Linked DNA regions of Ovis aries. The protein of the gene in region 3 interacts with the protein of the main gene of each other region in a pairwise test. Links are inferred from orthologs where the notes say so. Each region holds a gene or a part of one and is shown on either strand. Other genes may lie near its edges.

Region 1 (3,978 bases), on a different chromosome or scaffold from region 3:
GAAAGCAGGGCCTCCACCTATACCACTCAAGATTACTTCACACCAAAACTAGTTATTTCAGTACCAAAAAAAAAAAAGTGTACAAAGAGCGGTGGTGCCTGAGGATTCAAGGCAAAGTCTGAAAAGGGAACCAACCAGAATAAAGAGACGTCGCAGATGGTATAGATGATTCTAGAGTTGGCTACTTTCTTGACTATCACCTGCCTTGCTGGGCATTTCATGCCATACCAGCATTGCCCGGAGATCCCAAACTCCTCTCAATAAAAAAAAGTCATTAGGAGGAGATGGAGGGGAAGCAGACATACCTCCAAGCTGAACTACTCCAGCTTAGCGACTCAGGGGTTGGGAAGATCTCAACAATTCCTAAAATTGCTTTGGTTAACCAGTTTCATTCATTCCCCGCCCCACTGTCCACAGAGCTGGGTGCTGCTTCTCCACAGGATGTACACGGTCTGCCTACCTACATGGCATCCATCCTTCAAGGACCTTGCTCAAATGCTGTCTCCTCCAAAGTCACAGAACCGCGCTGCTCGGGTGTTCACTGGATGGGGGGGCTGATCTCTTTTTGGCAGTCAGCCTCCCTCGGATACATTTTGCAAACGCGGAGCTACTTTGATCTTGCCTTGGAGTGTACTGTGGGTCTTAACACTTGCTCCAGATGACACATGCAGACAAGTCCCTTGGGAGCACACCACGTTCTTAGTTAAAAATCTTTTTCTCTCCCAAAGCACCTTGCCCCTTCCCCAAAGCAGTGAGAGATTAAGGGCACTGTATTTAAACATAAATACGGTTTGGGTCGTCGGTATCACGCGTGTTGTCACACCAAACCACATTAGTTAAGTTTCAAATTGCCCTGATTGGCTTCAAGCTCCCTCGCAGTCCCCGGACAGGCGCTAAGCAATTGTGAAATCACCAAAAAGGTAGGGAGGCAGAGGGGGAATAAAGGGAAGCCGGGCCTGAATAATCCTCACTGAGTCATCGCTTCCTGAATGATAGAGCTTGCCGCTTGGCGGGGACGAGGTGTGCGGATCCGGGGAAAGCAACCTGAGCGGCCGGTGGAGGACGAGTCCAGGAAGAGTCCCCCGCCCCTAGCCCTACAGCTGGGGGACCCGAGAGCCGGGGGGCCCGGCCGGCACCCGCGTGCTACAGCGCCCCTCTGTGGCCGCGCCGCAGTCCCCGCCGCTCCCCGCTCGCCCGCAGACTGCTCTCCCCGCGGCCCGAGAAACAAGACACGCACAAAGTTTCCCAGCCAGGCGGTTAGAGAAAGGTCGAGGCGAGGCCAGGGTCCCGAGCCTCGAAGCACGGGCGTGGCTGGAGCGGCGCCCAGGCTGGCGGCGATGGCAAGGGGTCTGAGTCCAAATGGACCCCCCCTCCCCTAGGATTCCGAGGTGCCCCCAAGCGGGACCCGGGCCCTCCAAATCCCAAGGGCGAAGGACTGCTCCCTTACCCCAACCTTCTAGTGGTGGGCGGGAGGGGAACCCGGGTCCACGACAGGAACGGGATGCACACCCCCCAGGGTTGCGCTACCAGGGTGTGCTTGGAGCTCTTGGGTTTGCTTTTTTTTATTTTCTTAATTGGAGGGAGGGGACGACCAACTCCCTTTGGCGCATTCTGATCCTCAGCTATCCGAATTCTGGATGCCCCCAAAGAACCCACCTGCAGTCCACCGCCCCACCCAACGTTACTCTCCTTGCTGGGGTGACAAGTGGAAGCAGCAACTCCCCTCCTCCTCCCCCTCCAGCCTCCGGATTTGGGAGGCAATGTTCCACCAGGGTTTTCCCCGCCGTCCGCAGTGGACCCGCTGGCGGGAAGCGGCGGCGGGAAGCGGCGCCCCGGAGCCGGGGACCGGGAGCGGGCGAGGCCAGGCCCGGCGCGGCGCTTACCTCGTCCACGGTGAGCGGCATGCAGATCCGGTACTCCTTCAGCAGCATGATCCTGCCGGCCACGGACCTCCGAGGCAGGAAGCGGGCGGGGCAGGGGTGGGGGCACCCCCAGATCAACAAGGCTGCCGCCCAGGCGCAGAGCTGAGCGCCGGGAGCCCCGTGCTTGGAGCCGGTCGGCGAGGCAGCCCCCCGGGCGGTGCGCTCAGTTCCTGGCTTCCTCCTCTCCGCCCGAGAGCATGTCAAGGTTTGGGTCCGGGTGTTCGCGGCTCCCCCGCCTCCTTCCTAGCCGAGGTCGACCCGCCTGGAACGCGGTGTTGCAAAGTCAGAGAGGGAGGGAGACCCACTGGAAACCAATCTGATCGGCAGCCCCGGGCAGCAGGAGCGGAAGCCAGATCAGGACATGCCCGTCGGCGGGCGACGGAGGGAAAAAAAAAAAGAAAAAACAACAACAAACCACGAGGTCCCCCAAAATTACACGGAATACACAAAAGTCACCCTCTCGATCCGCCTCTGAAACCAGATCTTAACCTGGCGACTTCCCCCCGCCCCCTTTTCCGGCCGGTCTTCCCAAGGCGAATGTCACCGAGCACACGTTGCAGCCAGAGCCAGAGATGCTGACTTTTCAGACAAAGGCTCGAACGGCTGTGCTCCCCGGCGGTAAACAAGATTTCCTTCTCTTTTTAAGGCCGGTCGCCGAGGCGCTCCAGGGTCTCGCTGGGTGAGAAAAGGGAAGCCTCCGCCGCCGCGGCCGCTCGGCTTCTGCGGGGCTGGGGCTCCGGGTTCCTCCGACCTCGGCTCGCGCCTGCGAGGGGCGGGCGGGCGGGCGGGAGGAAGCTGGCGCCTTCCGCGCGCGTCCCCTCCCCCGAGTCCGGATCCCCGAGCGCCGTGCGTGCCCGCGAGTTTGCAGCCACCTCGCCGGGGCCGGAGAGTCGGCGCCGAGCTGCGGTGTGCCTTGGGCTGGGGAGGTGGGTGCGGGAGGAGCGAGCGCAGCTGACATCAGCAGCCGTCGCGGCGGGGAGGGTAGCCCCATCCGGCCAATGGGGAAATGGCAAAGAATGTGGAGGATTTAAACAAAACAGCATGTCTCTCCCGGGCTGCTGCCAGACGGCGGGGCTGCCCCGGAGAGCCGAGGCCGGCCGGCGCTGGGAAGGATCGGAAAAGAGGGGGCTCCTGTCGGCTCCTTGAAACCCTTTGAGTCTTGTTCTCAGATGTACCCCGGGTGCCACGGTGCTCTGTCCAGCCACTCTGGGTAGCTTCTGGGTCCAAGGTACAGGAGTGTGTCCCTTGACCTTTAGAAACGGTTTTTGTGTGTGGGGGGGGAAGGGGGGTGTTTGTTTGTTTGTTTAACAAATGCCCACCCGAGTGCGTTTTCACTTTGGTCCAGTAAACAAGTCCAGCGCTGGAGAGGCAACGGGATTTGGGAGCAAAAGAGCAAACCTGTGCCTGGTTTCCTAACTGGTTTCAGAGCAGGAATGCAGAAACAGCAAAGTGCAACACGGTAAATTAAAATGAAATCCACAAGGAAAGACACACAACCAGGGGAAACGTGAACGGGGACATAGCCTTTTACCTCTCCTGGCCCTGCTCTGCAGTCTGACTGCAGGCTTCGCAGAGCAGCAAGAATAGGTTTTCCTGTCAGCACTCCCAAGTTCAAAAAGTCACAATGAAATGTCAATGAAAATGCCTGGAGTGTTGGTATTTCATCCATATTAAACAGATCCCTCATTTTAACCACAAGAGGCACATTCTTCAGTTTCTCTGGAAGCTGCATGTAACTGCTGAAGTCTGTTTTTCATTTGTCTGGTATTTTTAAGCTTGTTTTTCTGAAAAGTGCTGGATGAAAAATGCATCAGTTGCCTCTTTGCAGAATAACCTGCAAGCATCATCTTTTCTTGGAAAAGAAAAAAATACTTGTGCTCTAAGATCCTACAGGATCTACAGATCCTCCTCACAGGGCTTTGGATGGCAATGCAGATGGCCTCCATATTACAGTATTTAAAATTATGAGCAGTAAGTAATTAATTGCTATGGCGGGCTGTGGCTAAAATCATCCAGATGGCTGAAGAGAATTTCTGTGTGAACATGATAACAAAAG
Region 2 (4,040 bases), on a different chromosome or scaffold from region 3:
GTGCTTAGCGGTTCAGTCGTGTCCCATAGACTTGCGACCCCATAGACTATAGCCTGCGAGGCTCTTCTGTCCATGGGATTCTCCAGGCAAGAACACTGGAGTGCGTTGCCATTCCCTTCTCCAGGGGATCTTCCCAACCCAGAGATCAAACCCATGTCTCCCTCCTCTCCTGCATTGACAGGCAGATTCTTTAATCACTGCACCACGGCCAGGTGCATAGTAAGTGACTCGTTTGAATCGGTCTCCTCCCATGGGAAAAGTCCCTTTACCAGGGTTTGGGGGAGATGACCCGGAGGTGAAGAACAGAGTTAATGACTGACCTTCAAGAGACCCATAAGTTGAAACTCGGGAATGGAGCCGGGGGTGGGGGGGTGGGGGGGGGGGGGGGGGGGGGGGGGGGGGGTGGTGTATGGGGGGAGGAAAGGTTCCAGGTGAGCAGGGCGGTGAGGAAACGGAGTAGGGACTACTTTGAGGGGGAAGGAGAGGGGGCTTTCTAAATGGTGAATTTTTTAGCTCGGATGCTAAAGGGAAGGGGGGAGGCACTCAGCTGGATAGAGGGGATGGTCAATGGGACAGGGTTGGGGGTCGTACTTGGAGTGGGGGTAGGGGGCTGGGGGATGCACTCAATCTGTCCCCTCTCCCAAGATGGGTTTTCCTGGGGATCCGTGCGGATGGCAAGTTTGGGGAACTGAAGGGCAGTCTCAGGAAGGCAGAGGGTCACGAGGGAAGTTTGAAACAAAGTTTCCACAGCAACCCAAGGCTCCGAGTTCCCAGCCCAGGCTCTTTCTGACAAAACCACTGAGACCTTCAGGCAGGATGGGAGGGACCCTTAGGAGCCGGGGACCCCGCCTCGCCCCGCCCAGTCAGGCCAGCCAGAACCCTTTATAAGTTAAGGATGGGGTCCAGTGGCCCGAGACCGAGGGTCAGTAGGTGGCGCCGGGGCTGAGCCGGCGCGGGCTACGGATTCTGCAGGAAACTCGGGCGGGACCCATAGATACAAAGGGTCCTCTACGCCCGGCTCCCTGTCCAGCGGGCCTCCAGAGGATGAATGGGGATGGCTAGGCCAATCCGAGAGCAGGATTCACAGCCGCTGGCGCAGGGGCCAATCGGATCCCTGGCGTGGCCGCGAGGCGGGGACAGAGCCAATCAGCTGTGAGGACAGGACCAGGGGGGCGGATCCGCGCGGTGTTTCAAATCGACTGGATGGGCGAGGAGCAGCTATGCACGTCGTCTGGTCAGCCTCGGGAGCTGTTGGGTGAGTGCGGGCCGGGGCGTGGTGGGGTTCTGTTCAGAAGGGACGGGAGCAGGTGGGGTGGGGGACCCCTAGTTAGGACGGGCACGGCATGTGGGGCTTCTGGGTACAGCCGGATGGACATCGGGGTGTCTGGTCAGCCCACCTCCGCGCATTGGGTCAAGGCGAGCTCGTGAAAGAGTCCCTAGCCCAGCCTGGGCCAAGTGCTGAGGCTCAGCGACGGCCGGCGGGTCCTGACTGCCTCCCTCCCAGCCTGAGGCAGATAACGGAAAGTAGCCTGGGATGAAAAGACAGTTAATTCAGACACTCACAGCAAGGGACGCCTTGCTGGCCGGCCTTGTCCAGACTCTGCCCTCTCCCGGGCCTCTATGACCTCACTTCTAGGAAGAATTCCTCCCCACGGTTGACAAGCGACCCACCCCATGGGCCCCAGGACTGGAATCTCTTTCTCTGGTACCCGGTGTCTCACTGGATCCTGGGAGTGGGATGGGGGATACCCTGCTGATCTCCCATTGATCTCCTCCCCAGGGTCTGTGGGAACAGAACAGACTCTTGAACAGTCAGATGGCTTCTCGGTGGCCAGCTGTGGGGGCTTCCCTGCGTCGGAGGTCTCTCCAGAACCAGGAACGGTTGGAGGAGAGCGAGGCCCTGCAGCCTGTAGCCGGCCACCTGGACACCTCCAGCGGGGCCCTGGGCTCCCTGCGCAGACAGTTCCAGAGGCGGCTGCCCCTGAGAGCAGTCAGCCTCAACCTCGGGGTGGGCCCCTCCTGGAAACGCCTGGAAACCCCAGAGCCAGGGCAGCAGGGCCTCCAGGCTGCAGCTCGCTCAGCTAAGAGCACCTTGGGTGCCATGTCCCAGGTAATGCCAAGTATGGATGTAGGGCTTCCTTGATGCTGAAAAATGGCTGCCCCCAAAGATCTCCCAAGAATATAGACTCTGTGAAGACAAGGTCCTTGATTTATTAGTGTCCCCAGCTCTCCAAACAATTCCTGGTACACAGTAGTGCGTGCACGCTAAGTCGCCTCAGTCATGTCTGACTCTTTGTTACCCTATGGACAGTAGGAGCCAGGCTCCTCTGACCATGGGATTCTCTAGGCAAGAATACTGGAGTGGGTTGCCAGGCCCTCCTCCAGGGGACCTTCCCAATCCAGGGATCGAGCCCATGTCTCATATCTCTTCTGCATTGGCAGGCGGTTTCTTTACCACTAGCGCCATCTGGGAAGCCCATGGCACCCAGTAGATGCTCAACAAATAGCTGAATGAGTGAATGAAAACAGGGTTGTGGAGGAAACAGAACATCATGAGACAAGATGAAAGAGCTATACTGTGATAGGAAGTTGCTAATTAGCAAAGGGCTAATGGTGGGGGAACACCAAAAACAAGCTTAGTCAGTGAAGGTGACTGGAGGAGGTGACTCCATGGAATTCGCCCAGGAAAGGGGAGGTATGAGGAGGTATGAGGAGTGTACAAGACAGGTGAACTAGTCCAGACCCAGGGTTAAAGGAGAGCAAGACGCTGAAAAGAACTGGCAGGAACTTAGTCTGGGTATGGCTGGAGGACAGAGAGCAAGACAGGGCGTGAGAAGGTAGGGCACGTGCCGAACATGTTTAGAATTATTTCACTGTCTCCTGGGGGTAGGTGTGGTCTCCCCCAGGCCTCCCCTTTGAGTCTGGGTCAATCTGTCCAGAAAGAGGGTTTGGATTTAGACCAATGCAGGCTCCATGAGCCAGAGAGGTTATGCTGCCGCCCATGCACTTATCCCTGGGGGCCTGAGCTGGGTCCCTGCTATGGACCTGTGGCCTCATGGACTCATCTGCATCCCTCACCCTGAGCCTAAAGGCTTCCTGGGTCTGTAGGACCAGCTGGTGGGCCGAGGGGTTGGGGGATGCCCTGAGAAATCGGGTAGCTCACTCCTGGCTTGTCCACTCTGACTTTTCCATGCACTGGTCACAGAGGATCCAGGAGTCCTGCCAAAGTGGCACCAAGTGGCTGGTGGAAACCCAGGTGAAAGCCAGGAGGAGGAAGAGAGGGGCCCAGAAGGGCAGTAGCCCCCCAGCTCGCAGCCTGAGCCAGAGGAGCACCCGGCTATCTGTGGCTGCCCCTGCCCACTCAACCCTGGACCCCCGGGAGAAAGAGTACCACCCCCTGTCTGTCCAGATGGGCCCCCATGCCCACCCTTGGCAACGGTCCAGAAGGGAGGCTGCCTTCCGGAGCCCCTACTCCTCGGCAGAGCCCCTCTGCTCCCCTAGGTAAGTGGGGTAGTGCCTGCCCCTCAAATGCTAACTGGGCCCTGGGGGCTACTGAGCACCTTCAGGACACCCTGAGCTGAGCCACATCCATGCTCTGGCTCAGCTCTGTGCCCCACTATGGGGGACCTGGGGAGGTCCTTTTGGGCCTGAGTTTCCCCACCTGCCAAAGGAAGAGGCGAGCTTAACTCTAAGAGTATCACAGTCACCCAAGCTCCACCAAAAGTTTTTGAAGCCACCTGGCAGGGTCGGGGGGTGGAGGCTTACCTGTCTGCAGGATCATCTATCCTTGACAATGGCCTCAGCTGTTCTCTGCCATCTGCTCCGAGCCTCTCTGACGACACTTCCTAGAATGGGGGTCTGGGGTGATCAGTTCCCAGCCCACACTGGTCATCTCTGGGGCCTGTACACCAGGTCCCAGTGCTGGGTTAGAATAGGCTCCTGCCACAGGTTTCCAGCTAGTGACTGATATGCACAGCTTTTCCTTCTGTCCAGTGAGTCCGACAGTGACCTGGAGCCCGTGGGGGCAGGAATCCGGCATC
Region 3 (3,962 bases):
CCACCTGGGAAGCCCCGAGACAAGGCAGTCCCTGACTATTGTGCAGTCAGGTTCCGGAATTCTTAACCCTCATGCTATACTAACCCCCTGCACCCTCCTCCCAAGGGCCTTTTCTCACAAGCCCTCATGAACCCAAGTCTAGAACTTTCTAAACTCTCACAATGACGTTCCTTCAGCTCAGGACTTGCCTCATGTGTGGCATTGGGTTAGGAACTACCTGGAGGGCCCGGGGCAGCTGCTTCTGTTCACCTGGCACCACTGCCTACTGTGGGTGGGCTGGGCACAAGCAGGCACTGAGCCAATACCCCAGGAATGTGTGAAAGGAGGGCAAGGGTAGTGCAGGGTTGGGGGGTTGGGCATTTTCTGAGCTCCCAAGGGGTTCTGATCTCAGAATAGCCCACTTAGACTCCTGTGGGAGGCCAGAAAAAACAACAACAAAAACAGAACCCCTAGTTAATCTTTAATTTCAGATAATGAATAATTTTCTAGACTGTTCCAAATATTGCCTGGGATATAAGGTCCACTGGAGAAGGGATAGGATAACCCACTCCAGTATCCTGGGGCTTCCCTGGTGGCTCAGCTGTAAAGAATCCTCCTGCAATGTGGGAGATCTAGGTTCGATCCCTAGGTTGGGAAGATCCCCTGCAGAAGGGAAAGGCTACCCACTCCAGTATTCTGGCCTGGAGAATTCCATGGACTGTACAGTCCCTGGGGTCACAAAGAGTTGGACACGACTGAATGACTTTCACTTTTCATACTTAGATTAAAAAGTTATTCATTGTTGATATGAAATTCAAACTCAACTGGATGTCCTCAATGTCACCTGGCAACCCTAGCTGTTCACGACCTCTCAGCACTTACTTGTCTCTGATTGGTAGCAGCTAAGACCCTTAGAGATATGGTGTTTTATTTCCCAAGTCAAAGAAAGGACCAGCTATTTCACTGTGGGCAGTGAAAGCCGGCAAAGCTCACATCTGTGGTCACGTGTGGCCTGTGAGGCCCACAAAGTTTCTCCAAAAAAAAAAAAAAAAAAAGCCACAAACAGACTAAGCCCTCCCACTGGGCACTAACTGTCAAAGCAGAAGTTGGCCCTAACTAATGGTGGCCAGGAAAAGACAGAGCTTTGAAGTCTGACCGTGATGGGTTCAAATTCTGACTCTGCCACTTAATCTCTGTGGGGCCTTGACAAGTTACCTATCTGGTCTGAGCTGAAGTTGGCTCAGCTACAAAAATCTCAGAAGGTTGATACGACTAAATAAATAACCCGGCACACCACAGACGCCCTAAGAATTAGGGCTCACTCCCTCGTCAGTTCCTGCTCCTCTGTCCCTTTCCTCCTTCCCCCTTAATAATTATTTTAGGCAAGTCTCTAATCAGAGAAAAGGTAGTCGGCATTAACTGCACACAGCCTGGAACAGAGTGAATGTTGATACCAATGAACCTCAGTTGCCCTCGTGTAAATTTCTTCCCTGCTAAACCTTCAATCCAAGCCCATTCCCTTGTCACAGCCATCTCTCCCCCTGCAGCAGTTGACTGGAAGCCTCGGAGAGGTCTGCTGAAGCAAGTGTTCAATATTAAGGAAATGTGCCCACGTGAAGTCACAACACAGACCATGTCTAATAATCCAAATATGGATGATGTATTGTTCTGTAGTCATCTATCTCTTACTTTAGGACCAGACACCATGGGTGCATAATGCTTTGTCAAGGGTGAATAAGAGGGTACTCCTGCATACAATCTCAAAGGAAACTGTACCTAGGCCGCAGATGGCAGGTCTGGTCCAAGGCTAAAACCTTTCTGACCAAAGCTAAAGGCTTCAGCCTCTCAGTGGCAAACCCAGCCAAGAAACACTGGGCTGGAGGAGGGCGGGGAGAAAAAGAAGAACAGCCTTTGGCATTCTTACAGCTCAGGAAATGAAGACACCCCAGCGACCTACAGTGTTTTCCTAAATGTGCAAAGTTGGGGGATTCTGCTTTTGAGTAAATTCTATTGGTGTCTGTGTTGCTTAAGAAATAAAGACGTTGAATCTATCAACTCTGAAAAACCATCTGTCTGGGATCATTTGATTTCCTTAACTTGATCTTCCCAACAAGAGAGGCGGTAAGGGCAGTGTTGGGGGTCCAGGTGAAAGCTTTACCCCTCTCTCGGTGGAAGGCAGGTGTCCTGCCTCCAAGTCCAGCCTCGGGCTCTCCTTGGGTCCCTCCCCACCACGCTCTCCTCTTTCTCCAGAGAAATTCTGGGCGCGCAGGCCAAAGCGAGCCTCAGGGGCTCAGCGCTCCCAGCTGAACCGGTCTTAGGGAAGAGACGGCTGCTTCCCTCCTCCAGCTCCCTCTCGGTCTTTCCTGCTGGCCTTCTGGATCTGTCTTCCTGGTATGGTCTGTCCGCCCACCTCCTTACACCTGGGCTCTGTTCGTTCTCTTTCTCCCCACCACTCCACTTTCCCCAGATTCTCGGTCCTCTACCTCTAAAATCCTCACCTCTAAAATCACCTACTAAAAGCGCAAATACCCAACACGCTCCGGGAGACCCGCCCCGCCCATCGCCACCTTCAGGTTCACGGCTGGCAGCTCCATCGCGACCCAACCGGACAGCACCTGCGCCACAACCGCGGGGGCTCCTGGTCTCCGAACTCGGGAAACAAACTTGCCCAGCCCCGCCCCGCCGGCTGCCCTTTGCCAGAGCTCCAACCCCAGCTGGGCTGTGGGGGGGGGGTCACGTGAGTAGGTCATGTGACGACGGCCCGGTATCTAGGAGACGGCGTCGTGCTGCTTGAGCCTTCACTGCGCCACTGCCCAGGTAGTTACGGGGCGGGGCCGGGGACGGGGGCGGGGGCGGGCCGGGGCCGGGGCGGGGGCGGGGCCGGGGGCGGGGGCGGGGGCGGGGTGGCGGGCGGCTGGAGAATATCCAGATTTGTGTCGCAAAGGGCGCAATATCTCGCCGAGTTAAAATCCCAGCAGGTGGGCTGACGGGACCACCTGCAGCCAGGAGAACTTGGGGGAACCTCCAAGTACAATCTGCAGATGTGGTAACAGCTGGTGTCTCATCCCTGAGGGCACAGTCTCTCCTCCCTCCTTCCCCAGTGAAAGTGAAGACGGTTACCTACCTCATAGAATCCTTCTGAGGATGAATGAACTAATTCATGTTTGAAGAAAAAATACTGACACTTACTTTAAAGGTAAGGAAGACTTATTCAAGACTGTTGGGATCCCCTTGGGTCTGTCCCGCTGAGTGCTTATTCTTATTTCCAGGAGGGGAGAGACCACGTGGAAACCTGAAAGACTGGCTGGGTGGGTCCTAAGATCCTATCAAGATACAGACTCTAGATACAAAGAGCGGAGTTTTCCAGGTGGGTGTGGAGTCTGACACGACTGAGCGACTTCACTTTCACTTTTCACTTTTATGCATTGGAGAAGGAAATGGCAACCCACTGCAGTGTTCTTGCCTGGAGAATCGCAGGGACGGGGGAGCCTGGCGGGCTGCCGTCTATGGGGTTGCAGAGAGTCGGACACGACTGAGGCGCCTTAGCAGCAGCAGCAGTGGGGTCTTCTGCAAGGTCGCGGAGTCCGCTGGCCTATTTGAATGTCCCTTTTGGAGACACAGCTGTCCAGCCCCCTGAGCAGAATAGCACATCTGCCAGAGTAACAGAGAGCTGGTAAGCTTCAGAGACCGGACAGATAGCTACACTGGGCACGATTGTTGGGATTCAGAGCCCAGAGGACTAGCTGGACCAGAGAAAAGAGTTTGAGTCCTAACTTTGTCCACTTACTGGTTCTACTTGAGCAAGTCACTTTGCCTCTCTGTGCTTCAGTTTTCTGATCCGTAAAATGAGAGAAATAATAGTATCTTCCTTGAAGGATGGTTATTTTGAATTTGTTAATAAGGATTTGTTAATATGTAAAAATGTTTAGAACATTGCCTGGCAGACAGCCCTTGATCAGGACTTGCTACTGTTTTGATATTCA

The links.
Region 1: the proteins of AGTRAP (region 3) and PITPNC1 interact in binary tests that used the Homo sapiens proteins (3 or more experiments, as listed by UniProt). The two-hybrid records come from large-scale screens. The link is inferred for Ovis aries from reciprocal best matches to the Homo sapiens genes AGTRAP and PITPNC1.
Region 2: the proteins of AGTRAP (region 3) and PIMREG interact in binary tests that used the Homo sapiens proteins (3 or more experiments, as listed by UniProt). The two-hybrid records come from large-scale screens. The link is inferred for Ovis aries from reciprocal best matches to the Homo sapiens genes AGTRAP and PIMREG.

What each region holds. Positions count from the first base shown.
Region 1 is NC_056064.1:49,176,062-49,180,039, forward strand, and holds the start of PITPNC1 (cytoplasmic phosphatidylinositol transfer protein 1), read right to left. Parts: upstream 2,821-3,978; 5' UTR 1,932-2,820; coding exon 1,884-1,931; intron 1-1,883.
Region 2 is NC_056064.1:25,303,623-25,307,662, reverse strand, and holds the start of PIMREG (protein PIMREG), read left to right. Parts: upstream 1-1,220; 5' UTR 1,221-1,255; intron 1,256-1,780; 5' UTR 1,781-1,816; coding exon 1,817-2,110; intron 2,111-3,205; coding exon 3,206-3,501; intron 3,502-3,993; coding exon 3,994-4,040. UniProt on the Homo sapiens protein: During mitosis, may play a role in the control of metaphase-to-anaphase transition.
Region 3 is NC_056065.1:41,204,308-41,208,269, forward strand, and holds the start of AGTRAP (type-1 angiotensin II receptor-associated protein), read right to left. Parts: upstream 2,805-3,962; 5' UTR 2,730-2,804; coding exon 2,595-2,729; exon of another isoform or gene 2,574-2,594; coding exon of another isoform or gene 2,547-2,573; intron 1-2,546. UniProt on the Homo sapiens protein: Appears to be a negative regulator of type-1 angiotensin II receptor-mediated signaling by regulating receptor internalization as well as mechanism of receptor desensitization such as phosphorylation.